Linked DNA regions of Notamacropus eugenii. The protein of the gene in region 1 binds, or shares a complex with, the protein of each later gene. Links are inferred from orthologs where the notes say so. Each region holds a gene or a part of one and is shown in the gene's direction. Other genes may lie near its edges. The genes, in order: MED24, MED12, MED20 and MED13.

The links.
Region 2: MED24 (region 1) and MED12 share a complex: the UniProt entries of both Homo sapiens proteins name them as parts of the mediator complex. The link is inferred for Notamacropus eugenii from reciprocal best matches to the Homo sapiens genes MED24 and MED12.
Region 3: MED24 (region 1) and MED20 share a complex: the UniProt entries of both Homo sapiens proteins name them as parts of the mediator complex. The link is inferred for Notamacropus eugenii from reciprocal best matches to the Homo sapiens genes MED24 and MED20.
Region 4: MED24 (region 1) and MED13 share a complex: the UniProt entries of both Homo sapiens proteins name them as parts of the mediator complex. The link is inferred for Notamacropus eugenii from reciprocal best matches to the Homo sapiens genes MED24 and MED13.

The regions. Positions count from the first base shown.
Region 1 is NC_092873.1:355,633,858-355,641,518, reverse strand, and holds the start of MED24 (mediator of RNA polymerase II transcription subunit 24), read left to right. Parts: upstream 1-4,657; 5' UTR 4,658-4,721; intron 4,722-4,897; exon of another isoform or gene 4,898-5,149; intron 5,150-7,620; exon of another isoform or gene 7,621-7,661. UniProt on the Homo sapiens protein: Component of the Mediator complex, a coactivator involved in the regulated transcription of nearly all RNA polymerase II-dependent genes.
Region 2 is NC_092879.1:100,125,971-100,133,291, reverse strand, and holds the start of MED12 (mediator of RNA polymerase II transcription subunit 12), read left to right. Parts: upstream 1-4,302; 5' UTR 4,303-4,392; coding exon 4,393-4,491; intron 4,492-4,863; coding exon 4,864-4,968; intron 4,969-5,262; coding exon 5,263-5,454; intron 5,455-5,945; coding exon 5,946-6,105; intron 6,106-6,205; coding exon 6,206-6,378; intron 6,379-6,548; coding exon 6,549-6,659; intron 6,660-6,741; coding exon 6,742-6,996; intron 6,997-7,304; coding exon 7,305-7,321. UniProt on the Homo sapiens protein: Component of the Mediator complex, a coactivator involved in the regulated transcription of nearly all RNA polymerase II-dependent genes.
Region 3 is NC_092873.1:102,946,504-102,953,799, reverse strand, and holds the start of MED20 (mediator of RNA polymerase II transcription subunit 20), read left to right. Parts: upstream 1-4,284; 5' UTR 4,285-4,292; coding exon 4,293-4,486; intron 4,487-4,927; exon of another isoform or gene 4,928-5,007; coding exon of another isoform or gene 5,008-5,162; intron 5,163-5,736; coding exon 5,737-5,891; intron 5,892-7,296. Other genes in the region: BYSL (bystin), read right to left, coding at 3,536-3,803. UniProt on the Homo sapiens protein: Component of the Mediator complex, a coactivator involved in the regulated transcription of nearly all RNA polymerase II-dependent genes.
Region 4 is NC_092873.1:373,002,817-373,010,336, forward strand, and holds the start of MED13 (mediator of RNA polymerase II transcription subunit 13), read left to right. Parts: upstream 1-4,502; 5' UTR 4,503-4,630; coding exon 4,631-4,696; intron 4,697-6,714; coding exon 6,715-6,949; intron 6,950-7,520. UniProt on the Homo sapiens protein: Component of the Mediator complex, a coactivator involved in the regulated transcription of nearly all RNA polymerase II-dependent genes.

The DNA.
Region 1 (7,661 bases):
TCTATTCTTGGAGGTGAGGCCTGTTAATGTAGCAAGTATTTATTAACCCTTCACTTACTGGGCACATGTTCAGTCTTTCTCCCTAGCCACAAAACTAATATGCCTTAGGCAACAACTTCTATGCAGACTCTGTCCACTTTCCTTACCCCAAAAAAGTCTTCTTTTCCACCCAACCTGCCTTCAGGGGCAACAATGGAGTACATCCGGTGAAACACCTGTGCTTTTTGGCCAGGTGAATTCTTGGCTTCAAATCTATCCCCTTTGCCCTTGGAGCTGCCTGGCACCTAAGCCCCTCCCAGTCAAGAAAGTGGCAGGCAGCACACATTTGATGTTGGGCATGTCCAGTCTTCCCACCAGGGAGAGATCAGCTCTCCACCTCTTGCCTTGGCATTGGAAGGCTGCAGGCATTTAAGAGTCAAGTCCATGAGCATTGTGAATGGCCAATACTATCCAGGCCATGGAACTCTATCAATGCTTCCCTGATCTCCACCTCCAAACAGACTGGCAGCTCTAAGAAGTAGGATGTGCCCCCCCCCCACTCCTCTCCAGAGTTTCCTGTTTCCACTGGGGGGGGGGCAGCAGCTCTTCCTGGTTCCCCTCAACTGTCTCATGCCTCACCTGGAGTGGGTGGAGCTGGCAACTTGGTAACAGGGGCAGGAGTAGGGGGGAAGGGAGGTGATGCATCCATCACCATGGCAACAGAAAGGGGGGAAGATGTCACCTAGCTAGATGGACAGGTTGAGTCCCAAACCTTCATGGTCCACCTGATTGGTTCCCCTTCACCTACTTGGTACCATTGTTTCCCAACCTCTTCCAATAGTATTCCTGGGTTCAGGGAGATATCCTTGGTTTTGGGACAGAAAATGAGTCTTCAACACAAACACACCCTTCCTCAACTATGCTCTTGATGTCAAGTTGGGTAGCAGTGGGAACCTGCCCCTTGACCCAACTCCCAACCCCACAAGTACAACAGAACTGGACAAATTAAGCCACGGATAGAGATGCCAATAATTAACCCAGCCCACCCTGCCGACTCACTGTCAAGGGGGAGGGTGGGGAAGAGGAATCTCCATTCTGAAGTCCCTTTTCTCTAGGGAATGGGGGGGATGGAGGGAAGAGGATAGTCAGGGGGCCTTATCCTCAAGCCAGAAACTCTTCTCCACAAGTCTCCAGGTTGCAAAACTTGTTTGCCTTCCCTAACCCCCAAACCCCCCCCCCCCCACCTCTGTGGGGGAGGGGTCTGAGTCAGGGTTAGGAGAAAGAGACAGAAAATCTGCACAACAGATCTGTCCACATTTCCTCCATTCAGGGATATTCCAGAGGGAAGCCTGTCTCAACCTCACTCTATCCTTTCCTTCATCCATCCAACTTTTCCCAGCTCCTCCAGCCCTCTCCCCAAGACAGTCAGGCACATGGTCCCTTTCCTCAGCTAGTTCTATCCCTGACCAGGCTGGGCAATGTGGAATCAATATCATTTTGATCAATGATCCTATGCTACCTCCTCCAGGTAAGCCAGTGAATGAGGGAAGCCCAGGGCAAATGGAGGTAGCTACCCAGGTGTCTATCCTAGCCATCACACACTGACACCAGAGGGACAGGGGAGGAAGAACAAAGGGGAGGGGCCAGTCAAATCAGGCTCCAGGATTCTCCTCCTTCCTTTTCCCTTCACTTCACAAAATCCTCTGAGAGCTTGGGAGGGGAGGGTTAGCCATTTCTATCATACACCACCCTTGGTCAGTGCCACAGGCACTAAGGCACCACAATGGGCCTTAAATGTCTCTACATTCATGAAAGACAAGGGTACTCTCAGAGATGTGTTGTGGCAAAGTATATGGATGGCATAAAGTATGGATGGCTGGACTTTGGGGGGACATGGCAAAGCTGGAGATGAGGGAACAATCAGATGTGGGGGGAGAAGGGCAGAAAGAAATCAGGGCTAGTTCCAGAATCTGGCTCCCCAAGGCAAGTTCAGGGTCAATCTCAATAAAATAAGGAGTTTTAAGAGCCTGGAATAAATCCCAATGGGAGTGATATTCCAGTGTCAGTGGCCTAGCTCCTAACCCTTTCCCTGGAGTGCTAATTCCCATAGACGTTAGGATGGGGTGGGGTATAGGAGACACCAATACTCTTACCTACTAAGCTTTAGAATTGAATAGGGAGCCCTGGAAAGCCAAAAAGACAGGAATCCTCATTGACATTAGGAAACCCCAATAGTTCCTAGAGCTCCCCTTATTTAGGTCCTGTATCTAGGCTTAGCTTAGCCAGGTAGAGAGGCCTGGTTGAACAGAAGCACCCTTCCCCACCCCCATTCCCCAAACCCTGGTGGCCACAGCTGTGCTTTTCTCTTGGTAAGGAAATCCAGGATGTCCTGAGAAGCCAGCAGAGCCCCTTCCACCCCCCACCCCCACCCCAACCTCCTGCTGACCCCTGGGGAGGCAGCAGGGAAAAGCTCACTATTAGCAACCAGAGAAATATGAAGGATGTCCTAGCTAGTCCCTAGCTCTAGGACAGAAGATTATAATGCTGAGACATGCAAAGACTGGGAGACACTCAAAAGAAAGTGACAGGAGAAAAGAAATATAGAGCTTAAAAGAGAAAGAGACCAGACAGAGAGATAAACAGATAAAAGGACAAAAACACACATAAAAACACAGCAATTTGAACAGAAGGACAGAAGGTAACATCTAAACGGATAGTAAAAAAACATCTAGTTGAGGTTATGGGGAGGCTTTGGGGTAAGCAGGAAAGATTCAGGCAAATGAGTTCCCCAAGACACTTTTAGGGTGGGGAAGTGGGAGGCAGAGAGTTAAGTCTGATTCCCCTAAAGACAACCTTGCTGCCCCCAGTTGTCAAGGCAGCTTAGGCAGGGTTATTGTCTGGGGCTATTGTCTCAGTCCTCAGAAACCCCTTACCTCCCCTCTCTCACGAAAATTTCTCTTCCTAATCTCCTTTAAAATTGTCCATGCCCTTAGAGGAGGGAGACACAGGAAAAAGCATGAGACAGAGAAAGAATGTGTGCATTTGTGTCTGTGAATGCCTGCATGTGTGACACAGTAAATCTGCTACTCTTATCATTCAATCAACAAATACTTACAGAGCAGCTATTATACAGGAAACATTGGGATAAATGCTGTTGGGTATAAATGGGTACAAAATAATACTATCCTTGCCCTAAAGGGATTTACAATCTAAATACAGAGTTGTTCTTAACCTTTTTCAGTGTCATGGAACCCTTTGTCAACCTGGTGATGCTTATCCACCCTTCTCAGAATGTTGTTTTTAAATGTATAAGATTATAAAAAGAAACTATCTATATTGAAATAAGCTTCTAAAAAAAACAAAACAAAAAAAATATGGCCCATAGGTTAAGAATCCTTGGAGTAAGAGAGTATGTATATTACTATATATGTGCATTTGTCTGACATAGCTTTTATTCTTGGGGGCAATCTTCTCTCCTCAGTTACAATGTAAACTCCTTGAGGAGAGGGCCTGTCTTTTGCCTCTTTTTGTATCCTTTTCGATTAGCAGAGTGCCTGGCACCTGGGAAGCAATTAATAAATATTTATAGATTGATTAAACTCCTTGAAGGCAAGAATGTATCTATTCTTGGTATCTCTCTCAATGAAAAGCAAGGCAGTGGTGCCTGGACACTAGGTCCTCCATAAATACAGTATCTGTTTGTCGGTTGTGACTGCACCTGGGACTATGTATAGCGATGTCTGTGTATAGGAGTCTGTATGTGGGTATGTGCCCGTGTCTGTCTGCCTGTCCTTGGGTCCCCCTGTGGGTGTGTCCATCTCAGCGTGTGCACTTGCTCACGAGTGTTCGGTCTTCCTGGCCCAGTGTGGGTGTGTCTATCACCCTCCTGTCCTTGACGCCCCGCGTCCCCGTGTCAGCGCCTATCCCGGTGTGTCTGGCTTTCACCGCCTCCCCCTACCCTTCACCTCCCGGACAAGCCCCCCTTCCTCCTCCCGTCAGCCAGCTTCTGCCAGGTCAGGGCTCCCGGAGTACTACCAACCGCGCCTCGCTCCTCCTCCCTCACCCTCCCTTCAAACTCTGACCCCGCCACCCCTTAGGCCTTTTCCCCATCCAGAAGAGGGGGAAACCCCATCTGCCAGGGGCTCGAGGGACACGTTGCAAGCCCCTCAGCTCCCTCCCTGTTGGTCTCGCACTTCCCCAAGTGGCCTGGAGCATGCAACTCTCCGGGCGCTTCCCGGGGACCCCGGAGTTCTCCTACCAACTCCTCTTTTTTCTTCCCCCAGCCGCGTTTTTGCATTTGGGAGTGTTGCAACTGGAGGGCCATGCAGCCCCATGTGAAGGGGCTGGGGCGGTCCTCGAGCCCCGGGGAGGCTGCAACCCCCCCCCCCCCCCACTCCCGCCGGAGGAAGCTTTGCAAAAGCAGCTCGGCCCCGGCAGTCGGGAGGGCGGAGGGTGGGGGGAGAAACAGGCCGCCCGAACCGTAAACAAACCGCGGCGGCGGCGGCGGCTGGCGGGGGAACAGGGGCCGCCTGGCAGCCGGGGCCGCGGCTCCGACAATGCGTAGCAGACGGGACCGGGAGAGGCCGGGGACCCGCGGGGCGGCGGAGGCGGGGTGTGGGGGGCGAGGCCCGGACGCCATCTGCCCCTGCAGCACCACCGCCCCCCTCCTGGCCACCAACCCGCTGCAACCGTCCCGTCCCCCTCCCCCGCCAGCCGAGTCCTCCATTTACTCCGGGGAGTTGGTAAGTTGCAAGCACCCCAGCACTGACAGTGTCACCCAGGGGCTGGCTGTGCAGGCAGCGGGTCCCCAGGGACGCCCCCAGCCGGGACTAGGACCCCAGCCAGCGAGCGTCCGGTGGCTTTGCATAATCAATCGCAATGTATTTGCATATTAATACCCCCTCCCCCTCCCCCTTACCTCGGCGTGGCGGGCTGGGCTGTGCGTGGGGAGGGGTGGCGGGTGGCTCAGCGCCGGGGCCCGGGGGTGGCCATGGGGGACCGGTGGGGCCGGGGCCGCCCGCCTCCTGTCCCCGGGTGTGAGTGCGAGTGAGAGAGGGGGAGGGGGGCAAGTGTGGCGGCCCCGCGGCTCCTCCGGCAGAGGCGGCGGCCGTGCTAGCTCCTCCCTCCCCCGCCCCGCTCCGCTCGGGCTCGGGCTCGGGCTCGGGCTCGGGCTCCAGGCTCCGCGCCGCCCGGGCCTGGCTCACTGCTGCTCCCTGCAGGCCGAGCCTAGCAGCCCGGCGGCCTCCCCTCCCAGCCCGGGCCATCCCGGCCAGGTCGGCTGTGCCGAGCCCGGCCCGGCCCCGCCCCTATCTCCTCTCACCTTCTTCATCTTACTCGGACCGAGTGCGCTATGCCCTCAGTCCATTCACGCCTGGCGGGTCCCCCCTCGCCCCATCCTATCCCACGCCGGCTCACTCACAAGTGCCCATCCCTGCCGGATCGCTCCCTCGGGAATCGCTCGCTTCTCGCTAATTTGCTCTCTGACGCTCGCTCCCACCCGACGCTTCTCCCGGTCCCACTCTGAGCCCTCCTTCTTTCGCTAGGCTCCCTCCTGGAGGCCACTTCTTGTCCCCAGCCATGTTTCTGAAGACCCTCCGCAGCCCAGGAGGGAGGATGCCGTCGGTTAGTCAGTCCACAAGCATTGGCTCAGGGAGTACTATGAAGCCAGGCACTGTGCTCGGCTCTGGTGATGTAGAGAAAAGTAAAAACACGGCCCCTTTGGTCAAAAGGAAGAGACCTGGAAAGGACTATGTACCTGCAGGATACATGCAGAGGTCTCTCCCGTCCTGCTCTTATATCTCATCGTGATGCTGGGAGAATTTTGATTTTTTTTTTTCAACGGGGTGGAGAACCGAACTGGAATCCAGAACCTAGAACCCAGAATCCTTTGTGTATATGCAAATTGTAGGAGTCATCCAAAAAGAGACCTCTCCAATGTGTCAGGTCCCCCACCCCCACCCCACCCCACACACCTTCCTATGCATACACATACAGCTGTATTCATGGACATTAAACCAACCCAGAGACGCCAAAGCCCTTTTCATCTTGGGATCTTCCAGGTTGGGCAAAGCTCTAATTACCCCAGCCCCCCACTCTGGCCCTGCCGGTTCCCCTGCTGTCATTAGCCCAGTTTTACCAGCGGAGGCCATTGCCTTCCCACGGGCTCCCCAGGGTGGGGCCCCTCTTCCCCTGCTCCCTTCTCATGAGGAGGTGGGGATGAAGTTTGGTCGATCACATTTGGAAAATTTGTCTGACTAACAACAGCCTGAGTTGATTAGATTGTCCAAACCTCTCCTTTTTAGAGGTAATTCTCTCATGGTAGGTCGTCCCTGGGGGCTTGTCTTCCAAGAAGGTTTGCCCTTCAGATCTCTCATGGGATCAAGAGGAGGAAGAGGAGACACTCTTTGGAATGCAGTGATCATAACATCACAGTTTCAGAGCTGGAAATGGTCTCTGAGATCATCTAGACCAACCCTTTGTAGAAACTACTCTGGACTTACATCTTCATTTTACTGATGAGGAAAGTGAGGTCAAGAGAGTTCAAGTGACTTGCCCAAGATCACACAGAGAGTCAGGATCTTAAACTGAGGTCATCTGATGACAAATCTATAGCTTTTTCTTATTCTTCTTATTCAACCCGCTGCCTCTCATAGTGAGGATGGGAGAGATTTCACCATCTTAGCTTAATAGTGAATATGGATTTTCCTATCCCTCCATCTTCCCTTGTACTGTGAGGTGTGTTTGTCCTCCATTGCCGCAGAAGACCATGCCATCAGAGAAATAATGACCTGACTTGCACTTGACTTTGTTTTGAGTGAGGGAGGGCTGTGCAGGTCACTAGCCTTACTTCTCCTCCAGAACTATCTGAATCCAGTGACCAGATATTCATCAGGATCACTAGAGATGACCCAGGATGAGGCAATTGGGGTTAAGTGACTTGCTCAAGGTCACACAGCTAATGAGTGTCAAGTGTGTGAGGTGAGATTAGAACTCAGCTCCTCCTGACTCCTGCACTGGTGCTTTATCCACTGCACCACCTAGCTGCCCCTGTACTCTGAGGTGGTGGAAAGGAAGAGAAGGGAGAAGGGAATAGGAGACTATAGTATATTAAGGATAGGAGAGACAGGAAAAGGAACCTGAGAAAGGGTGGTCTAAGGAACAGCCTGTTCTCTGGCTATTGTTGACAAAAGCTGTATCCAAACACCTCCTCTTTCCCTCTTTCTGTTATTATGGTGTACCCCCACAATTTCTCCCTCTCCTATTCCCCTATCAATAGGGATTCTAGATAGTTATCTCCCTAAGAAGACCTCTGCCTAAGAGCCAACACCTCATACAACTCCATGCCCCTGTAATCATTTCATATCCTAGTGACAGGTGGGGGATACTGGCCATCAACTAGCCAGTTGTGGAAATAAGCTCTCTGTCTCCCCCACCCCCAGCACTCCCCTAGCCTAAAGAGAGTTGGTACCAGCAGATGAAATGTGAAGGAAACTCTCCAAGCTGTCTTGGCATTACCTCACTGCTTGACAGACCTCTGAGCACTGGGGAGGAGGAAAAGGAGAGCAGGGGAAACTGAGGTACAGATGGTTGATGAAATCAGGAATATAGGTATTTTTCTTATCAGGAATATTTATTTTTCAGAAAGGAGATTGGTTATTGGGATCCTAGGAAAAGGAAAGAAG
Region 2 (7,321 bases), on another chromosome or scaffold:
TTTGTATCAGCTCAAATGAGTGTTCCCAGGTTTTTCTTATCATTTCTTACAGCACAGTAGTATTCCTTCACAATCATATACCACAACTTGTTCAGCCATTTCCCCAATGGATGGGCATCCTCTCAATTTCCAATTCGTTGTCACCACTAAAAGAACTGCTCTAATTATTTTTGTACTTAATAGGTCCTTTCCCCTTTTCTTTGATCTCTTTGGGATACAGACCTAGTAGTGGTATTGCTGGGTCCGAGATTATGCAGTTTTATAGCCCTTTGAGTATGGTTCCAAACTGTTCTCCAGAGTGATTGGACCAGTTCACAAGTCCACTAACAGTGTATTACAGCACCAACACTTTTTTTAGATCTCCTCCTGGATTTGTCAGTTTCCTTTTCCATCATGTTTTGTTTGTTGAATTATTTCAGTCATGCCCTACTCTTTGTGACTCCTTTTGGGGTTTTCTTGGCAAAGATACTGGAGTGGTTTTTCATTTCCTTCTTTAGCTCATTTTACAGATGAGGAAACTGAGGCAAACAGGGTAAAGTGACAGCTAGTAAGTGTCTGAAGCCACATTAGAACTCATGAAGTTGAGTTTTTCCAATTCCAAGCCCAGTGCCCTATCTACTTTGCCACCTAGCTGCCACTTCTGTCATATTAGCCAATCTGATAGATGTGAGGTGGTACCTCAGTTGTCTTAATTTTCATTTCTCTAATCAGTAGTGATTTTGAGCATTTTTTCATATCACACGCACACACACACACACATATATCACTTTGATTTCTTCTCCTGAAAACTGCCTGTTCATATCCTTTGACCATTTATCAAATGGAGAATGGCTCATATTTTTGCAGATTTGACTCAGATCCCTATATATTTGAGAAATGAGACCTTTATCAGAGAAACTTGCTGTAAACCGCCCCCCTCCCCAGTCTCCTGCCTTTTTTTTCTAATCTTGGCAGCATTAATTCTGTTTTTGCAAAAAATTTTAAATTTCATGTAATAAAAATTATCCATTTACTTCTGATGATCCCTTCTATCTCGTTTAGTAATAAATTCTTCCCTTATCCATAGATCTGACAGGTAAAATCTTCCACGATCCCTTAATTTGCTTCTGATATTGTTTTTTTTTAAAACCTCATCTTGGTATATGGTGTGAGATGTTGGTCTTTAACCTAGTTTCTGCCAAGCTGCTTTCCAGATTCAAGAGCTGGCCCTGAAACCAGAAGACTTGGATTTCAATCCCACTGCTTCTGATACATACAGGTTGTGTGACTCTGGACAAGTCACTTAATCTCCCAGTGACCCCAGGCTACTCGATTTAAGACTAGAAGTTGAAGAGAAGGTGCTGACCTGCATAGGTAGGGGAAATTTCCTCACCTGAAAGTTTCCCCCATAACAATGAAGTCACAAATCTAGACTCTAGTCGTGTCTCCCAGATTTAGAGGTTCAGCTCCGGGGCTATTCCCTCTATGAAGCCCACACTATTACTGCTGAGGCAACTAGAGGGCGCCACAGTGCACAGAGTGCTAGACCTGGAATCAGGAAGATCCTGAGTCCAAAATGCGGCCAGTCACTTACTAGCTGAGTGACCCTGGCAAGTAACAACTCCTGTTTGCCTCATATTTCTCATCTGTAAAATGGAGATAATACTAATTTGCAAGGTTTTTGTGAAGATCAAATTAAATTATAGCTGTAGAGCACTTTGTAAACCTTAAGAGTGCTATATATCGTTGTACTTAGTCGTTTCAATTGCGTACGGCTCTTTTTGAGCTCTTTTGGGGTTTTCTTGGCAAAGATATTGGACTGGGTTGCTATATTCTCTCTAGCTCATATTACAGATGAAGAAACTGAGGCAAACAGGGTTTAGTGACTTGGCCAGGGTCACACAGCTAGTAAGTGTCAGAGGCCACATTTGAACATAGGTCTTCCTGACTCCAGGCCCAGCGCTCTATCCACTGAGCCACCTAGCAGCCCAGACTGCTCTATAAATGTTAGCTGTTGTTATGAGGGTACTATTATCCTTTCAGTCACCTGGGCTCCAAACCTTGGGGTCTTCAGCAACTCTTCTGTATTCCCCTCCACTCTTTCCACCCCCTTTATAACTAGTGGACAAGTCTTGTGGAGCCTGAGTCCCCACGGGCCCCACCTTCTCTCAAGCTTTCCCTGCCCCCAGGCTCTGTTCCCTCCTCACTCCCAGCCATCCTCCCCAAAGTCAGGAAAGTTGTTTCTGGCTGAAAGCCTAGGCCTAAGCAGGTGCCTCCCTTTCTCCCAAGTTCTGCTGGGAGGTCTCTATTGCCTCTAGGCCCCGGCTCAGGGTGGCTTTGAAAGCCCTTTCCTTCCCTTCCGAGGCTTTAGCTGGAGCTGGGAGTTCCTTGGGGGCAAACATTGCTTTTGGCCTCCTTTGTATTATTCCCAGTGCTTGGCACCCTGCTGGGCACAGAGCGGTTGAATACTGCGCATTGTTTGATTGGCTGGCTGATTGTTTCTTTGCCTCCTACCTGCTTTTCTAGACAAAGGTCGAGTCCTCCGAGCCCACACTTCCTACGCTCACAGGGCCCAGGAGACCTGGCTCACCTGCTTTTGCTCACACGTGACATTCTTTTGATTTATTTAAATTGTTAATGATATATATTTTGTTTCTACAAAAGATACATTCACCTCCTGGGGTGACTGTGGGGAACCAATGAGATAATATATGTGAAGTACTGATCCTTAATGCATTATGTACACCATCCCCACGCCCTTTCTCTCTCCTAAAGACACTTATATCAAAGATTACAAAAGATAAAGGGGGGGGGGGGGACGAAGAGGGACACCAGTCAAACTCACCAACATATTGAAAACATCTGACCTAGACAGTCACGCAGGACATTCCAGCGCCCTTCTCTGTGTCTTTGGCCAGGCAGTCAGTCTCTCCCCTCACCCCCCCCCCCCCAATTGCCTTTTGGAATCAGCCTCCAAGCCCCTTGAGAGCTCGGACCAGCTGGGCCCTGGGCTCTTTTCTTGATCTCCCCAGCAAAATTCCAGTTCCCCTTTATATAGAGCTTACTCTGTGCTCAGAGTTTTCCAAATATGATCTCACTCATCCTCACCACAACCCTGGGAGGTAGGAGTTGTTACTAGCTATCCCCATTTTATAGTTGAGGAAACTGAAGAAGACAGAGGTTGAAATGACACCGCTAGTAAGTAAGGGTTTGAAGCTGAATTTGAAGTTAGGTCTTCCTGACTCCAGGCCTTGCGCTCTATGCACTGCAGCGCCACTGAATTACTTTGTACAAGCTTTGGAGGTAGTTTGTAATTGGCTGGTATCCGGTGAATGTTACCTCCCGGAGCGCAGCTGCGGAGCCCGGGGCTGCTGGGATTGGCTTCGTCGCTCTCCCCGCCCCCGGGAGAGCTGAACCCGCGTAGATGTTTGGCTAAATGCAGGCCACTGCGCCTAGTTTGGGGTGCGCGTCGGGATTGCTGGAGCAATCGAAGGCTTTTTTTGAGCTAGCTAGCCGGGAGCCTCCCTCCAGGCAGCTCTTCTGTCATTCCGCCCAACATTTATGTTGAATATTCTGTTGGACTTCTGGTCAACCATTTCCTAACTTGTCACACATACTTCTCTATCCATCCCCAGTTCCTACTAAATCATAAACTCTTTGAACGCAGTGACTACGTCTTGCTCCATTTCCGTATCTCGCGCGAGGTAGGAACACTGAGGGGAGGTGGGGCACTCTGGGCACAGCAGGGACTTTCTAAAGGTTCCTCAAATAGAAAGAAGTGGAAAAGAGCATACGTAAAATGAGGCGGTGCCCGACGTGACCTCTGAGGTCCTTGGATCTTTAGACAATGGGGACCCTGTGGTAGGAGGTGACAGCGTCAGTGGGGATCCCTTCGGGGCTCTCGGGTTAAGCGAAGTAAGCACTGGGCACACACTTCGGCTTCGGAGATGCTCGCCCCTTCCCTCCACCCTGGGCCGTAGTAGACAGAGGAAAAAACTGAGGAGGCTCCGGAGGCCCGCGAGCGGCTGAGGGCAGGTGCCCTAGGATGGGCAGATGGGTGGAGGCTGGAAGTACGAAGGAACAGAGAGAGGGAAAGGGGCCCAGATGGGCGGAGGCAGGCGGCGGGCAGCCTGCCAGCGGCACATGGCTCGGAGCTCCCGGGCTGGGCTCTCTCCTTGCCCTGGCCTGGCCGGCCCCCGCCGCTCGCCAGTTTCCGGCCCCGCCCCCGAGCGCTGGCCCCGCCCCCGCCCCGCCCCCGCCGCGGGCCTGGGCCCGACCCCGCCCCCGCCCGCCCCTACCCCCGCCCCTACCCCCGCCCCCTTCCGCTCTCGGCCCTCAGTCGTCTCTCGCTCGCTTTCCTCACTCCCGGCCGGGCCCAGCCGGCGCTGCCGCGGCTTGGGGCTGCCGGCCAAGATGGCGGCCTTCGGCATCCTGAGCTACGAGCACCGGCCGCTGAAGCGGCCGCGGCTGGGCCCGCCCGATGTCTACCCTCAGGACCCCAAGCAGAAGGAGGTGCGCGCGGCGCGGCCCGGCCGGGTGGAGGAGGGAGGGGGAGGAGGGGGGAGGGGGCAGGAGGGGGGAGGGGGGAGGAGGGGGGAGGAGGGGGCAGGGGACCCACCGGCGATCTGGACCCGGGGTGGGGGGGGTGGGCGCGCGCGGTCGCTGTCCCGACTCCTCCAGCCCCGGAGGATGCCGAGGGCCCCGCCCGCGGCTCCCCGCCAAAGTTGGCAGGTCGGGTCCCCCTCCCCCTGGAGAGTTGGGGACGGGCGGCCGGCCGGCGGCTCACTGTCACCAACTGTCAGCGTGGCCCCCCCCCACCCCCCCCCCCCCCCGCTGAGGCCCAAGCGCCGATGGCTCAAGGGTCCCCTCCCCCCTGTCCCTCAGGACGAGCTGACTGCCCTGAACGTCAAGCAGGGCTTCAACAACCAGCCCGCAGTGTCCGGGGATGAGCACGGCAGCGCTAAGAACGTCAACTTCAACCCGGCCAAGGCGAGCTGGGGCGGGGGACCGGAGAGGGGGGCGACGACGCTTCCTCAACTAGCCTCCCCACCAGAGTTTCCTTAGCCAGTCGTTCTCACTGGCTTCCAAAGAAGGGAGGGGCAAAGTGGCCTAGAGCTGGAGGGTTGGGGGGGGGGGGTAGCTCTGGCCCCTGCAAGAAATGGGCTGCACTGGAGGACCCCTGCTATCCCATGTGCCAAGGGGGCTGGCTGGGGCAGCTTCAGCTTGGCCCTCTGGCAGGACCACTTGGCGATTGCCCTCTCCCTTTTCTCCCTCCCCCCTCAGATCAGCTCCAACTTCAGCAGCATCATCGCAGAGAAGCTTCGCTGTAATACCCTACCGGACACCGGGCGCCGAAAGCCCCAGGTGAATCAGAAGGATAACTTTTGGCTGGTCACCGCACGTTCCCAGAGTGCCATCCATGCCTGGTTCACGGACTTGGCTGGCACCAAGCCACTCACACACTTAGCCAAAAAGGTGAGGCGTTGCTTCCTGGGGCCTACAGGCTGTGGGGGGAGAGAGCACTCTTGGCTCCCAGCTGCCAGCTCTTTCCCCCTTGCTATTTCCAGCTTGTCCCAGGCTGACTTCAGCTTCCGCTCTCATCCTCTTTGTTGCCACCAGACTGGCACATTCCATCATATTTCCCACTCATCGACCTGTCTCCTGCCTCCCTGCCCTTTTATGCAGTCAGTCAGTTCCCCAGGCCTGAAGGTGCTCCCTCCTCACCTCCACTTTGTAGAATTTCTAGTGTCCTTCAGAGCTATGTGCCACCTTCTGGGTGCCACCTTTCTTAGTGCTCTCTCCTCTGATATGCCCATTCTTTTTGTATGTAAGGCCTCACGGGGAGAGATAGCCACCAGTTTGGTAGCTAGCCCCAAGGCCAATGGGACTCAATTCACATGACTTGGGAGTGGGTCCCATGGAAGTGGCTTTGGGATCCTCAGAATCCCTCTGGCATCCACATGTAGGTGCCCATTTTTGGGAAGAAAGAAGAGGTATTTGCCTATTTGGCTAAGTACGCAGTGCCAGTGATGAGGGCTGCCTGGCTCATCAAGATGACTTGTGCCTACTACGCAGCGATCACAGAGACCAAGGTTAAGAAGAAGCACGTCATCGACCCTTTCATGGGTGAGTAAACCAAAGGCAGAGCACGGGCATCTCCCACCCCTTAGGGCCGCTCCCCCCTCTGCCCCACCTCCTGATATCCCATTCTCCATCCCACTTCCAGAGTGGACCCAGATTATCACCAAGTATCTGTGGGAGCAGCTGCAGAAGATGGCAGAGTTCTACCGGCCGGGGCCTGGGAGCTGTGTTTCAGCCTCGGGGTCCCTTCCCCATGAGGTGGAGGTGGCTCTTCGACAGTGGGACTACAATGAGAAACTGGCCATGTTCATGTTCCAGGTAGCAGGAAATGGGAGGGGTTGGGGGAGGCTAAGTGTGCAGGGCACCAAGCTGAGCTCAATAAGGAGCCATTTCACTTGGTACCTGCTGCAATTCCCTCAAGATCCTAACCTGGCTCCCTCTATGCTGTTCTCTCTTCTCTGGTTTTCCTCGTACCCTTGCACTTTCAGGATGGGATGCTAGACAGACATGAGTTCCTGACTTGGGTCCTAGAGTGTTTTGAGAAAATCCGGCCTGGAGAGGATGAGCTACTCAAACTCCTGCTGCCCTTGCTGCTTCGGGTAAGACCCTAAAGCCTGAGCTTTGTGGGACTGCAAGGGGCCAGACTGACTGGAGATTCTGAGTGCCATGTCTACTCCACAGTACTCAGGGGAATTTGTCCAGTCTGCATACCTCTCTCGACGTCTTGCCTATTTCTGTACTCGGAGACTGGCCCTGCAGCTGGATGGTGTGAGCAGCCACCCTCCCCACGTGCTTGCCACTCAGTCCAGTGGCACATTGCCCCCAACCCCTGCTCCTCAGCCACCAGCTGGCAGCCAATCCTCCACACCCTTTGGTGAATTGCTCCAGTGTCCTCAGCATCGACCTCTGGTGTTTGGGCTCAGCTGCATCCTTCAGGTGAGTGCTGAGCCATGGCCAGGCTTTGGGGCAAGCTCTGGGTCATGACCATGATGAGTGTCTCACGAGGGTTGGAAGTCAGGGCCTGCAGCCCAGAGCTGGCATCCCAGGATCCCAAGCCAAAGGAATATGTTGGGGGGTCAAGGGGAGGGTTGGGGCAAGTAAGGAAGGAGACTCCCTCCTGTTCAACTTCCTATCTTCCACACTGGAGCTGGCGGGACTGGTGCTGGGCAGGAGCCTGTCATGTTTGGCCTGGTCTTGAAAAGACATCCCTGGTAACTGGCCTTTTTGATTGGCTGGTCTCCTAGAGCATCCTTCTCTGCTG
Region 3 (7,296 bases), about 250 Mb from region 1:
GAAGGGTCATCAGGAAAGGCACATCTTAAATCAGTATCAAAGTACCTAAGTGCTTTCTGTTTGCTGCATACTGTGCTACCTGATGCGGGGGAAGGAATGGATGATGTTTTAGTCAAACACCTGCCTTGTGGCACTTATAAACAAGCTAAACACATGTGAGACAGTAATAATACCAGAAAATGATTAAGTGCCCATATATTTTTAAAGTAGCAAAGAACTTGAAACTAAAGGGGTGCCCATGCACTGGGGAAATGGCTAAACATGGATGGAACATGAATGTAATGGAGTACCATTGTGCCCTATGAAATGAGTAAAGGGATAGTTTCAGGGAAACCTGGAAAGATATATAAACTAATGCAGAGTAAAATGAGCAGAGGAAATGTGTTGTGTTTTGAAGCGAAGAGGTTAAATTAAGGAAGAAGTGATTCCAAGCACAGGGAACAGCCAATGCAAAGGTATGGAAATTGGAAACAGTGGGAGGAAAAGCAAGAATGTCAATTCCTGGATGGCCCATAGGGTAGATTAAAAGCTTTATATGCCAGAGGAGTTTATATGTAATCCTACAGGCAAGAGGGAGTCAGTTGAGTTTACTGAGTATGGGAGTTACCTAAAGCTTGTATTTTAGGAAAACATTTTGGCACCTGTGTGGAGGGTAAACAGGAATAGGGAGTCTTTGAGACAGGGAAACCAATTAAGAGGTTATTAGGTGAAAGGTGATGAAGACCTGAACTAGAGTATCTGATATCTATATAGAAAGAAGGGGAGGGATATGAGAGATGTGGATGTAGAAATGACAAAATGTGGGGACTGAATGGATATGTGAGTGAAGGAGTTTAGGAGGTCAATGATGTGAAACTGGATGAATGGAAGTCAGAAAAAGAGAGATTAAGAAGAGAACTTGATTTTAAGACAAAGATAATGAACTCTGTATGTACTATATTGAGTGTGAGATGCTTATGGGATGGCCACTTTGAAATACCTAATATGCAGTTAGAAATGTGAGACTGAAGTTCAGGATATAGACTGGAGTCAGATAAAGAGATTTAGGAGTCATTTGTGTACCTGGCACATAGTAAATGTATAAAAATGCTTTGTCTGCTCTATAGAGATATTTTCACTTTATTTCAGCTAACGCTTAAGTGAACAGGCACAGGTAATTTTGATCACAAAATTTGATCATAGTCAGGATATAGTCTTGGGGTACACTAGGGATGTACTGGAGCCAGCCCCAACTATTCTTGGGACTGTTAGATTTTCAATGTAAGGATTTATACCTTGGAAAATGGCAAATGCTACTAATGAGAGCTTGATTTACTTTTTTGCTGATTATTTAGATTTAAGATATGAAGAAAACTTAATTATGAAGATTAAGCTTAAAAGCATGTGGAAGAGCTGATTGTTAAACATTTACCAGCATACTACTGGGGTATAACTACAGTTAAGTAGTGTGATTATGGATTATAAACCAGCAAAGGAGTCAGAGAAGTAGGAGAAGCAAGAGAACAAACTGTCTGAAAACCTAAAGAAGAGAGACTATCCAGGAGGAGAGGGTGGTCAGTAGTAGTAGTAAAAGCAGCAGAGAGGTCTGGGCTGAAAAGTGAGAAAAGGATAACTAAACAATAGATGTAAACAAACAAATAAAAATGCTATGTTTGACACTTTTCCCTTATCAGATGTCCTCTAAGATCCTATGCAGGTGCAAAATTCTGAGAAGTCTACTGAGATGGAAAGGAAAATGAATGAACATCATTGTTTGGGTTCCCTCTCCCTCTCATGGCCTATGCGCCTCCATGCCTGAGTCACCAGTTAATGATCATTTATTAAGTGTCATCTATGTGTTAGACTATGTGCTAAGCACTAGGTATACAAAGGCAAAAACATTAGACACTTCCAAGGAACTCAATCTAATGGGAAGACAACAGGAAGGCTTTAGGGGGAATTGGGAAAAGCTTCTTGCAGAAGGTGGGATTTTCAGTTGAAACCTGAAGGAAGCTGAGGAAGCCAGGAGGGCAGAGGTGAGGGAGAAAATTATAGGCAAGGGGGAGAGTCAATGAAAAGATGAGTAGAGATATGGAGTGTCTTGGTCAAGGAACAGCAAGAAGACCAGAATCCTTGGATGGTAGAGTATGTGGAAGACAGTAAAATATTAAAAGACTGCAAAGGTAGGAAGGGGTCAGGTTATGAAAGGCTTTAAAAGCTGAATAGGATTTATATTTGATCCTGGAGATAAAAGACCCACTGAAGTTTACTAAATGCACAATTACATGATGAGATCTGAACTTTAGGAAGAACAGTTTGACACCTCTGGTGGAGGACGGACTGACCTGGGGAGTGACTTGGTTACACAATAGACAAGGATGAGGTGATAAGGGTCTGTACCAGGAGGGTAGTAGTGTCAAGAGGAAAAAAGGGAACATACAGAAGTTTCTACAAAGATGGAATCCACAGGACCTGCCAACTGACTGGAAATAGTGGGATGAGAAAGAATGAAGAGAGTACAGTATGACTCTTAGGTTCCTGACAGTAATAGAAAAGTTAGGGTTTTAGAGGAAAGCTAACAAGTTCTGGTTTGGATATAATGACTTTGAGGAGTCTATGGGATATACCAACCAAGATGTCTAATAGTCAGTTGGAGATGGATAAAAAACTCTATAAGAATCATATGTATGATAAGAGACTATAATTGAATCAACAGAGACTGATGAGATCACCAAATAAAGTAATAGAGAAGAATAAGACAGAACAGTTCAGGGTTTTTGGGCACACTCACAAATAGATGGCTTCACCTGGATGAATGTCCAGCAAAGGAGACAGCAAAAGAACTGTCAGGCAGAAAAGAACCAGGACAGGGGTGGGAAACCTGCGGCGTCGAAGCCACATGTGACCCTCTAGGTCCTCAAGTGCAGCCCTTTGACTGAATCCAAACTTCACAGAATAAATCCCTTTAATAAAAAGATCTGCTCTGTAAAACTTGGACTGAGTCAAAACGCCACACCCAAGGACCTAGAAGCCTAGAAGCCGCAGGTTCCCCAACCCTGAACCAGGACATAATCAAGACAGTAGTGTCACAAAACCCCATAGAAAATAGAGTATTAGGAAGAAGAGGGAGGTCGACCCAGTGTCAAAAGCTGTAGAGATTTGCAAAGTAAGAAATAACTGGTACCTTGGAGGGATCAGGGCCCGTAGAATGATGAGATCAGAAGGCAGATTGCAAAGAATTGAATGAGAGGAAGGTTAATTGGAAGTTAGCACCTATTGTAAACAGACTGCTCAAATTCTGCAGAAGAGAGGGAGTCAGATATAGTCGGATGGAGGGGGGGATGGAAGGCTCAAGTGGGGGTTTTTTGAGGATAAGGGAGACGCGTGCATGTTTGTAGGCAGTAAGAAAGCAGCTAGTATACAGGGAGAGGTGGAAGATTAGCGAGTGTGCTTTCAAGGTAACTAACCCACAAGTTTCCCTGAAGCTCCGCCTTCAGTTTCTCGGCTCCTCCCCCTCCCCTATTTCCCGCAGGACCCTTTCGACCCCCTCACTAACCCAGCCGCGTGGTGGGCTTTCTCGGCGCTGTCTGGTCACCCGAGCCATGTTCAGCTTCTAGCTCCTCCTGCTGCTCTCGCGCCTGCTGTAGGATCCGCCGGGTCAGCCGGGGCCCCACGTACTCTTCTTCTTCCTCCGTCCCGCGGCCTCGGTCCCTCCGTTTCTCCCGGCTTCCGGGCCGTACGGAGTCCCCTGCCAGGATCTGGTCCGCCAGAGGGGCATGCTTTGCCTGCCCTCCGGCCTTACGGGACGACTTGATCTTGGGCATGGTCTCCACCACCCCTTCCTCTGAAACACACGTGGGGAACTGGCAGGAATATGGACTGCGCCGGCGCCAAGCAGCGCGTCATTCTCTGCACCTCCCAGATTTAGAAGACAAGCTCCATTGGCGGAACACAGCGCCTCCCAGCGATCGGAGGCCGGAAACTCAGCTTCCGGTGCCCCCCCTACCGGCCCCGCCCCCTGAAGTTAGACGTCACCAGGCCCCTCCCGGGGCCCCCGCCGTACGACGGCTCGCGTTATGTGAATTGGACTCGTAGTTGCCCACTGTAGCTGTAGCCCTGGTTTGGATTTGTTCTGTCTTCCAGAGATGAGTATTTAGGTCGCGAGTCAATTCCTAGAAACCTCCCGCCTTACTCTAGGGTGGGGAAAGTGGGCGGAGCTCCTAGTCGGGGTGATCGCCCAAGTCCTGGCAACTCCGCGGCTGGTGCTCTCTTTGAGACGCTTTATTTATACGTCACTTCCGAGGCCCGACTTAATGCATCACTTCCGGATTCCTCTTTTTCCTCCTCCCCTCCCCCTTCTCTCTCCCCTACAGTCTTTCCGTCCACCTCCCACCAAGGCCTGGAAGTGGGGCTTCCTGCGGGAGAGCGGAGGGAGAGGCGAGGCCGCGGCGTCGGATTCCTCCAACGTACACACTCCCGTGCGACCTGGAAGCATGGGGGTGACATGGTAGGGCCGCGAATGTTGCACGTGGAGGGGGGAGGTCTCAGAGTTCCTTGGGCACCCGGGCCGGACCGCGAGGGAGTACGGAGAAGGCGCTGCGTCCCCGCAGAGGCCTCCTCCCGACCCTTCTCCTTTCCCGGTCTTGTTGGGATGAGTGGGTGGGGGCGGGATGCCTGGGCTCGGGTGTGAGTCAGGCCCTTCCATCTACCAGCTCTCAACCCGTCCCCGCTTTGGGGGCGCTGCAGGCCTGGTGGGGGTGTGGGTGTGTTGGGGGGAAGTTTACGCTTGGGTTTTGTAGGTTTTTTTTTTTAATTGTAGGTTTTTAGAGATTCTGGGAGACTTTAAGGCAGTTCCCTGTTCTTAGGGGAAGGCGAAGGGCGGGAGGAAGCCCTGGAGGTCACTGAGTGGCAGGCTTCAGCTTCTCCTCTTCCTTCGCCCGACCTCCAGCCCGAGACACCCCGCAGTAGAGCTGGACCAGGGGGACGGGATCTCCTGCCTGACCAGAGTTTGATCACCATCCTCCCGGGATGGCGGGAGGGAGCATTATCCCTGGCACTGAAAGGGGGAGAAAGGAGCCAGCTTCTGAAGGCTGTTGGGCCCGGCTTGGAAAACCCATCATGTTGAAGAGGGAGAAGGAGAAACAGTGCCCTGGTGGTCTGCTTTTCACATCTGGGGCTGAGGGGTCATTGTCAACCCTATCTTTCCTTTGTATCCCTCTAGCGCTTAGCACAGTAACTCACACGTAGTGCTTAGTAAATGCTTCTTGACCGAAGAAGGTATCAGATAAGGGCACAACTTTTTGGTGCCACATCTGAGAGCTTGTGAAGACCTTTCCTTTCTAGAGTTATTTTTGGCACTTGCAAGTTACTGACTGCCAGCTAGTAGTCCCCAGAGTTCAATCAGTAATCTCTTTCTGAGACTTGGCATGGTGAGGGGAAAGGTGTATGACAGCAAAGGGAACTAGGTAAAAAGCAGAAAACGAGAAACATCTGCTGCATTGGGAGAATGATATGCTTAGTGTGATCCCTAGGATATCCTTATCTTTCTTTTTCTGGAGAATTCTCATTTGGGCCAAAGCCACACACAGACTGCCTGTAGTGTTTTGCTTCTCGCATATGAGCAGTGGCATCTCCCAGCAGGGATGGGACTCTGGCTGGGATGGGATCTGGGGCTACCAGCTTCCTTTGCTGAATGAGAAGCTGGGGGAGCCTGTTCACATCTATGTGGACCCTGAAGGCTCATCACTACCCTTCTAGTGTGTCCCAGATGCCTGTGGCTGAGGGTAAGAGTGTCCAGCAGACCGTGGAGATCCTGACCAGGAAGTTGGAACTGCTAGGGGCAGAGAAGCAGGGGACATTCTGCGTGGACTGTGAGACCTACCACACAGCGGCCTCTACCATGGGCAGCCAAGGTCAGTGTGTGGTAAGTAGGACAGCTGGAACCTTGCTCAGACTTAGTAGATTCTCCAGATGCTAATGTCCTTAGACATCTTTCTGGCTGAGACAGTTTTCTGCTCAAGGCTATTCATTAGTATTTCTGAACTCCTGACGCTCAGTTGTAAGAGTTTTGGTGTTTTTTTTCAGTCTAAAGGTTGAGAACCAAGAGGAAATCTTTCTACACTTTTTGTTTGTTTGTTTCCTGTCTTGGAACTCCCTATACTATCACTCTGGCCACTTCCTTTGCCATTCACTGAGGCTCAATATACTGTCCACTCTGTGGGAAGGAAACTCTGTACCAATGGTTTGAATTAAAATGCAAAAGTAGAAATGATGAAAAGACCCACACACTAGGAATAGGGGGTGTGGGACCTTAAATTGTAGTCCTTTCTGTACTACTTACTTGCTTTGTGAGCTTAGACAAATCTTTTGTCTGTTCCATCAGCTGTATATTGGGAATTACAGTTTAAAAGGTTGTTTTGGAGATAAAATGAGATATGAAAGTGCTTTGAAAAGTGTTAAGTGGTATACACATGTAAAAGGATATTTAGAAAAGATAATCTTCACAATTGAACTAGAGAGGCAAAACCTAGATACTTACTTAAAATATTTTTAAAGCTTATTTTTTTATCTCTTTTTATATTGCCTTCATTTTGAATTATAACCTTACCCACTCTCCTCTGCCCAGCAAGCTATCTCTTGTGAAAAAAAGAAAATTTTTAAGAATGTTGGAGGGAAACAGTTCAGCAAAAGAACTGTCACTAATCGTTTTATATAGTCCATGCCCACAGTCTCCTACTTATACATAGAGGAGAGGAAGCTATGTTTGGGGGCCAAGCTTGGTTACTGTAATTTACATAGCATTTAGTTTCATGTTTTTTATTTTCGTCTTGGTCTTTTTGTTTACATTGTTAACTTTGTGTATATTTTGCCTATTTGTCTGAGGATGAGAGGGAAGTGAAAATGAATTCCTAGTTCTCTCTATCAGTTCCAACTCTTTCCATGCTTCTCTGAATTCTTGATATTTCTCATTTCTTAGAGTGTAATAATCTGTTACATTCATGTACCCTAGTTTGTCCATTGGTGTCTGTTTTCTTATTCTTTGCTATTCCAAAAAATTCTGTTATGAATATTTTAGGGTATAATATGAGACTTTCCATTTTGGACCTCCTTGTGGTATAGGCTTATCTGTAGGGTCTCTTGACCAAGAGGTATGGACATTTTTTAGCACCCACACCTTTTTTGCATAATTCTCAATTGTTTTCCAGAAATTGAGTAACTCACAGTTCTGCCAATATAGTATTAGTATCCAGGTCTTTCTGAAGCCCCTCCAACATTGATCTTTCCCATCTTTTGGCATCTTGACCTATTTGCTGGGTA
Region 4 (7,520 bases), about 17 Mb from region 1:
CATCACCCGAGCTTTCAGCAAGTCAGAATCTTTTTGCTAATGGAGGGTCTTGCCTTAATGTTGATGGCTGCTGACTGATCAGGGTGGTTGATGAAGGTTGGGGTGGTTATGGCAAGTTCTTAAAATAAGACAACAATGAAGTTTGCCTCATTGGTTGACTCTCTCATGTGCACAGTTAGAGGCCATTGTAGGGTTATTAATTGAACCAATTTCAATATTATTGTGTCTGAGGGAATAGGGAAGCCTGAGGAGAGAGATAGGCATGATAGGTCAGTGGAGCAGTCAGAACGTCCCCAACATTTATTAAGTTTATTGTCTTATATGAGTGGGGTTTGTGGTGCCCCCAAACAATTACAATAGTTACATCAAAGATCACTGATCCCAGTTCACCCTAACAGCTATAATAATAATTAAAAATTTGAAATATTCCTAGAATTGCCAAAATGTGACACAGAGACATGATGTGAGCTCATGGTATTGGAAAAAATGGGTGATAGACTTGCTTGATGCAGGGTTGCCACAAACCTTCAAATTCTTTTTTTTAATTCAGAATCTTCAAAGTTCCATAAAGTGAAAAACAAAAGGTGGAGGTATGCCTGTGCTTCATTTCCTAAGGACATTTTTATTGACTGCCCCCACTGCCTGGAATGTGCTTGCTCTCTCTCTGTCTCCGTCTGTCTGTCTCTCTGTCTCTGTCTCTGTCTCTCTCTCCATCTCTGTTTCCTACTTTCTCTGGCTTCCTTTAAGCACCAGTTAAATTCTCACCTACTAAAGGAAGCCTTTCCCAATCTCTCTTAACCCTAGTACCTGCCCTCTGTTGGTTACTTCCAGTTTATCCTGTATATAGCTTGTTTGCACATACGTGTTTGCCTATTGTCTCCCCCATTAGACTGTGAGTTCCTCAGGGACAAGGTCTGTCTCAGCCTTAACTGTGTTACAAGCTGTATTAGCCGAGTCACTTGACATCTCAACCTCAGTTTCCTCACCTGTGAAATGAGGATAATAATGGCACCTATGCATATCAAGTTATTGTGAAAATCCAAGAGATAACACATCTAGTGATTTGTAAACTTGAAAGCACTATATAAATGTTAGCTATTATTAGCCATGTAAAAGCAAAAGATAGAAAAAGAAAAGCTATTTTAAAAATTTCCAACCTTCCTTATGACCAAAAATATATATAAATCAAATGTTTCGGATTTTAGTGATGAAACCAGTTAGACTCACTCTCAGAAAGCAGAAACAGTTTGTGGCTAGACCAGATTTGAAATACATCGAACCCAGCTGAAACTTCAAGGGATTACAAACTGCTAACCCTACAGGGCCTTTAATAACCCAGGGTTACAGTCACAATCCTGGAGATGCAGCTTGGAGGTAGAGCTTCTGTGGAAGGTTAAGCATATATATAGTAATTCAATGTACTTGGAGAAAATGTTTCTTCCAAAGAATTCAAATAGGTTATTGAAACAATATAACCATTACGGAAGCTGTGGCCCAGTGGAAAGAGGTCTGGACCTGGAGCCAGGAGACATCTGGATTTGAATTCCACCTCTGACTTTTAGTATGAGTCTGAATTAATGAATTCACCTCAAAGGATTGGAATAGTTTTCAGAAGAAGAAAGTCAATTGATTAACAACCATATGAAACAAATGCTCCAGATATTTAAGTTCATAATAAAAAGAATAAAAATTTAATGACCTCAAAAATGCAAATTAAAACAACTCTGAGTTCTCACCTCACAGCCATCAGATTGGCAAAGATGATACAAGACAGAAATAGTTGGTGTTGGTGGAACTGTGAATTGGTCCAACCATTCTGGAAAACAAATTGGAACTAAGAGAAAAGTCCCTGAACTGCTCATTCCATTTGGCTCAGCAATCCCACTTCTGGGTCTATCCCTTGAGGAGGGCAATGACAGAAAACAAGGTCTCAAATAGAACAAAATACTCATAGCTGTACTCTTTGTGCTTGTAAAGGAAAAAAAAAACTGGAAGTAAGCATCCACTTTAATTGAATGAATAAACTGTAGTATATGAGTGTAAGATTATTGCACCAGTAAAAGAAAAAAAAATTAACAACCACCAAATTTGAGAAATTCAATGGAAAGACCTGCACGTGTTGATGCAGGGAGAAGAAAGAAACCAGAATCTAGAGAACAGTAGACAGACACAATGACTACATTTGCATAACATAAATGAAAACAACCCTAAAAAGCAGTTGATCTCAGATTAAATTCAATGAACAGTCTTGGTGCCTGAAAAAAAAGATGAAGAAACATATCCTTCTTCGTAGAGAGGTGGGGAAGGCAAGGTTCTCAACTGTCAACCTTAAGATGTGATTGCTGATGTAAAGCTCTTTGCAAGTCTTCAAGCATAATACAAAGGTGAACTACTATTATTCATCCCTTTGTTTGGCTTAACTGTTTTTCTTTTGTTAATCAATCGGCCAACAAGCATTTTTCAAATGCCTACAGTGTTTTGGGCTCTTTTTAGGTAGGCATTGTACTAACCACTGAAGATACAAGCACAAAAGGAATATAGTCTGTCCCTGAAAGAAGCTTGCATTCTGTTGGAAAACCAAGTGCCTGTATAAGTATATGAAAAATAAATACAAGATTTTTTTTTTTTGAAGGGGAAGGTACAAGTGGCTGGGTGAATCTGGAAAGGAAGGCTTCATGTGCCTGATAGTGCTTGAGCTAAGCTTTGAAACTAGGTATTCCAAGAGGTGCAGTTGCTAAGAGAATTCATTCCAGGCATGGGAAACAGCCTTTACAAAACCATGGAATTGACAGATGGAGTATCTGGAATAAGGAATTGCAAAAAACGAAAATTTGACTGGACCTTAGAGTGTGTGAAGGGGAATAATGTATGATGAACCTGAGAAAGTTATTGGGTGGGTGGCTGGGGGGGGGGGAAGGTTATGAAGGAGGAATTTGTATTTGCTCCTAGAAATAATAAGCAGTCACTTATTTCATTAACCATCGGGGAGGCACTATCAGACCTGTGTTACAAAGGACATTTAATAAGTATGAATGTGAGAGTAAATCAGGAAATGATTGTAATGTTAAAAAAAGAAACACTTCAAAGACAGTCTGGCATAGCACCAAATCCTTGTTTCTGACACTTAATAGTTGTGTGACTTGACTCCTCAGTCTTCATCTGTAAGATGCATTGGAGGTCCCTTCTCGTTATGATCCTATGATCAAATTTTTAAAAAAAAGTTACTAAAAGAAAGTTACTTCCTCTCTATGGCTCTCAGTTTCCCCATCTGTAAAATGGGTTTAATAATTATAGCGTTGCGGTAAGGAAAGCTATACAATTCCTAGTTACTATATTCCACCGATCGATTGCCTACATAGCGCAATAGACAACCTGCAACATTTTGTATACGAAATGAGTTACAAAGTTAACCTTACTCGGCTACTGTTGCCATTTTTCGCTTTTTCAGTTTTGTAACTTCCCAGGAAGGTGCCAGGCCGGCTAGAAGCGCACTTTCGGGCTCCGACCCAGGAGCACTTACTAGGCGGCGCTGTTTCAGCTGCCACCCGCTTCCCAGGCCGCCCCTAGCGGCGAGCAGCCGGGGCTCTCCGGCTTCCCGGCCCCTCAGTCCCTTGGTCCTTTCCTCTCTCTCTCCTCCTCCTCCTCCCCCCCTCCCCTGGAGCCTGGGCTCACGTGACCCCTCCGCGTCCAATGGGCAGGCAGAGAGGCCGAGCTGGTCCCTGCGGCCGCCATTAAAGCGAAGGGAAAACCCGTGAATTCGGATTAAAGGGGGAAAAACACCGCCCGCCGGGCCCACAAAATGGGGGAGACGACCGCGTCCAGGCGGTGAGGCCGCGGGGGGCGGTGGGGGGGGAGGAGCGGACGGGCAGGCCGGCCCGGCCCGGTCCGGGGGAGGGAGGGAGAGAAGCGAAACCACCAGCGAAGAATGGTCTCAGCCCGCGGACGCCGCCACCGCCGCCGCCGCCGCCACCACCGCCGCCGCTGCTGAGCAGACTCCGGGCTTGAGGACGTCGCTGGAGCCGCTGCCGGGCCGGGGTCGGGGCCGGAGTCGCGCCCGCCTGCCCTACCTGCCCTGCCCCTTCCCTGCCTCCCCGCCCGCCCTTCCCTGCGCCCCAGTCTGGGTCCGGGCGCTGCGGCCTCTGTTTAGGTTTTTAATTATTTATTCTGTAATTTATTATTAATTATTCATCTCTCCTCTCGTGCCGCGGGGGGCTGCGTGTGCGTGCCAGTGCGTGTGTGAGTGACTGAGTGCGAGTGAGCGTGTGAGAGCGAGCCCCCGTCGGCCTCGGCTGAGCCGGGGGGCGGCGGGTCCCCGGGGCCCGGCAGCGGAGGCGGCGGCGGCGGCAGGTCCCGTCCCCCTCGTCCCCGGGCGGGGCTCCTCTCCAGGCTCGGCCCGGCTGACCCCTCCGCCCCGGGGCCGCGGCCGGGGCAGCCGCCGGGAGTGGGTTAGAGAGGGCGGGCGGCTGGCCGGCCCCGCGGCGGCCTCCTCTTCCACCCCCCTTCCCCTGCTCCCTCGCCCGCCCGCCCGCTCGCCCGCCTCCCTCCCCGGCGTCTGTGTTTCTCTCACTGGTCGGAGGCGGCGGTAATGGCGGATGGTGGGTTGTGGCGCCGGCGGCGGCTGTGAGGGACGATGAGTTCCTGCTTCGTGCCGAACGGGGCCAGCCTAGAGGATTGTCACTGTAACCTCTTCTGCCTGGTGAGTGAGGGAGCGGGCGGGCGGGCGAGCGACGGCCGGAGGGAGGGAGGGAGCGAGGGAGTGCGTGCCCCCGTCCCGAGGGGCCCCGGCCCCGGCTTAGGCCCCGGCGGCCTGGGCTAGGCCCCCTCCCCGCCCGCTGCTGGCGGCCCCGGGCGCTGCCGGGCCCCCTCCCCCCTCCCCGACTCCAGCCCCCTCCCCGGCTCGTCTTGAGTCTTTCCCCCTGCCCAGAATCCCTCTCCCCAAACCCTCTTCCTCTCCTCCCTTGCCAGGCCCCGGACCGACCACCCCATTCTCCTGTTCAGCTGCTGCTTTCTCTCAGTGCCCATCACACTTTTCTAGGACTGGTCTGCCCTGGTCTCTTTCACTCCTTGCTCCCTTCGCCCCTTTAAATGAGCGGTCCTGCAGGGAACCCGACCCAGAACCCCAAGCAAAACCCCAATTTTACCAAGAAGACTTGTCCCCCCTCCTTTTTTTCCTCCTCTTAACTTGCTCACCTTTATAACTAGCAGAGAGCGCTCTGAAACATTTCAGGGATGCCATTTCATAGTTTTTTTTATTTTTAATTATTACTTTGAAAACAAAGTTTTTTCCTTCCATTTTTGACAATTTTCTAGTCATCTTGCTCTGACTGGAACATTGTGTTGTGTGTGAGTAGAGGGCAGTAGTGGAGGAGGTGCTGTAGTGTTGCTTCTGAATGTTTCTATATTTGTGTATATTTTGGTATGCATTTTAAAATATTTTGAGCAGACTGCTCCTTGTTTTAACTGGAGTGAGATGCTTGGGAAAGCTAGGCAGCTAAGGAGGAATGCATTGTGCCAGACTGACCAGGCCTGAAAACATCTCAACTGTTGCAAACTTTCTAGTTCTGAATCTGAAACTCTTAGCTTTTGTTTTTAAGTGACTAGTTTGACCTTTTTTGTTTGCCTGTCTGTAAGGAAAACATTAAAGGGATATCAGAGTCAGGAAAGTTAATTGAGGGGATGAGAGCACAACTAGTTGGCAAGTGTAAGCTGCCGGTCATGTATCAGCAGTTTCATTTTTGGCACCTCCAGCTTTGTACCTTGAAGTCAGACTGAAGACAAGTTGGAATACCAGCTGTTAATTTTCCTCCCCACAATCTTAAATTTTAAAGTATGGGGAAATATTTTCTTACAGTTGGGCTATGTTAGTCATCCTTTTTGAGCACACAGCTTTCTCTTAAAACTAGGTTTTATCTTCTGGTTTCTCCAACTTCAGTTTATCTTGTATTTTAATTTTTGTTGTTTTTTATGATGAGAGACTAGTACAGATCTGACAGTTCATTATAAACAAATAGTGAAGACTGCCTAAAACTCTTAGTGAAGAATTGGAAAGAGTTTGCTTCAGATGTCATTTTCATAAAATGTTAATAATTTTCAAATACGTAGTTACAAGATACTTTAAAAAAAAAAAACTCTCAAGGGGTTTGAAGGAGGTAATGCTGCATTGGCTGTGGAATAGTAAAGGAAGATTGGGACTGGGTTTAGATCCAGTCTGATATATGCTGTCTATGTAACCTTTGGCAAATCACTTATTCTCCTTGAACCTCAGTTTCCTTATCTGTAAAGTGAAGCAGACTGGGTTAGACAGTCTCTGAAGTCTCTTCAAATTCTGTACCTTCCAATCCTGTGACACTTCTTACCCTTGAGGCTTTTTCCCCAACATTTTTGACTTTATAGGCAGCCAGTATAAATTAGAATATTCATCGAAGAAACATGAGTGACTTCTGATTGCAAGACATCCAGAGATTACAAAAATAAATAAGACATGGCCCCTGTCCTTGAGGAGTCAAATACAGCAGAAATGAGTTGTTCTCTAAATACGTTAAATATTATGACATGAAGTATAAGTTGCATAATTCTTCTTCTTAGGTCTTATACCTCAAAGCTTTCATTGGAAAAGCATGACAATCTCTTTAAGAAACTTTAAAGGACACTTATTTTGGCTCTGTATGAATGTAAGATAATGTAATCACACTTTTTTTGTTTTTTTAACTGTAGGCTGACTTGACAGGAATTAAATGGAAACGATATGTATGGCAAGGCCCAACTTCTGCCCCAATTCTGTTTCCGGTGACCGAAGAAGACCCCATTTTGAGCAGTTTTAGTCGCTGCCTTAAGGCAGATGTACTTGGTGTTTGGCGGCGAGATCAGAGACCTGGAAGAAGAGAATTGTGGATATTTTGGTGGGGTGAGGACCCCAACTTTGCTGACCTTATTCACCATGACTTAGCAGGTGAGAGTAATTTTCATACATTTGTAACATAAGAGAGCATTATGAACCTTTTGGGGGCTGTATTAATGATGCAGATTTTCTTAAATAACACTAAAAAAAGTTATATCTTGAAAAAAGGGTAAGTTATCATGGATGAAACCAGAATAAACTAAATTTTGATATGATTCCAATTCCCTGTGAATATTGATCCTCCTGTGCTTGGTTTGTTTTTTACATTGTAGATTTTCTGTGGCAAATTGTAGAATCTTGAATGTCTTTCTCCCATCACTAATCCCTGTAGGCTTTTGCATCCCTGCTATTAGTTTATTTCCTACCCAGCAAATACATAGTAACATTAACCTAAACAATTCAATTCAGAATGTAAATCTGGTACAGGACTTCATTGAATGTATTCTCGGGACCAATATAAATGACTTGAATTTTATCTTCCATTGCTGTTTTCTAGTAGTGAAAATAACCACTATTTTATAACTAGCATTTCAGGCTTCTAACTTATGATGCTTTTACCTAGGCTTAAAATAATTGAGAGGCAACGTGGTATAGGTATTCATTATGAACACAGGCAGTATGG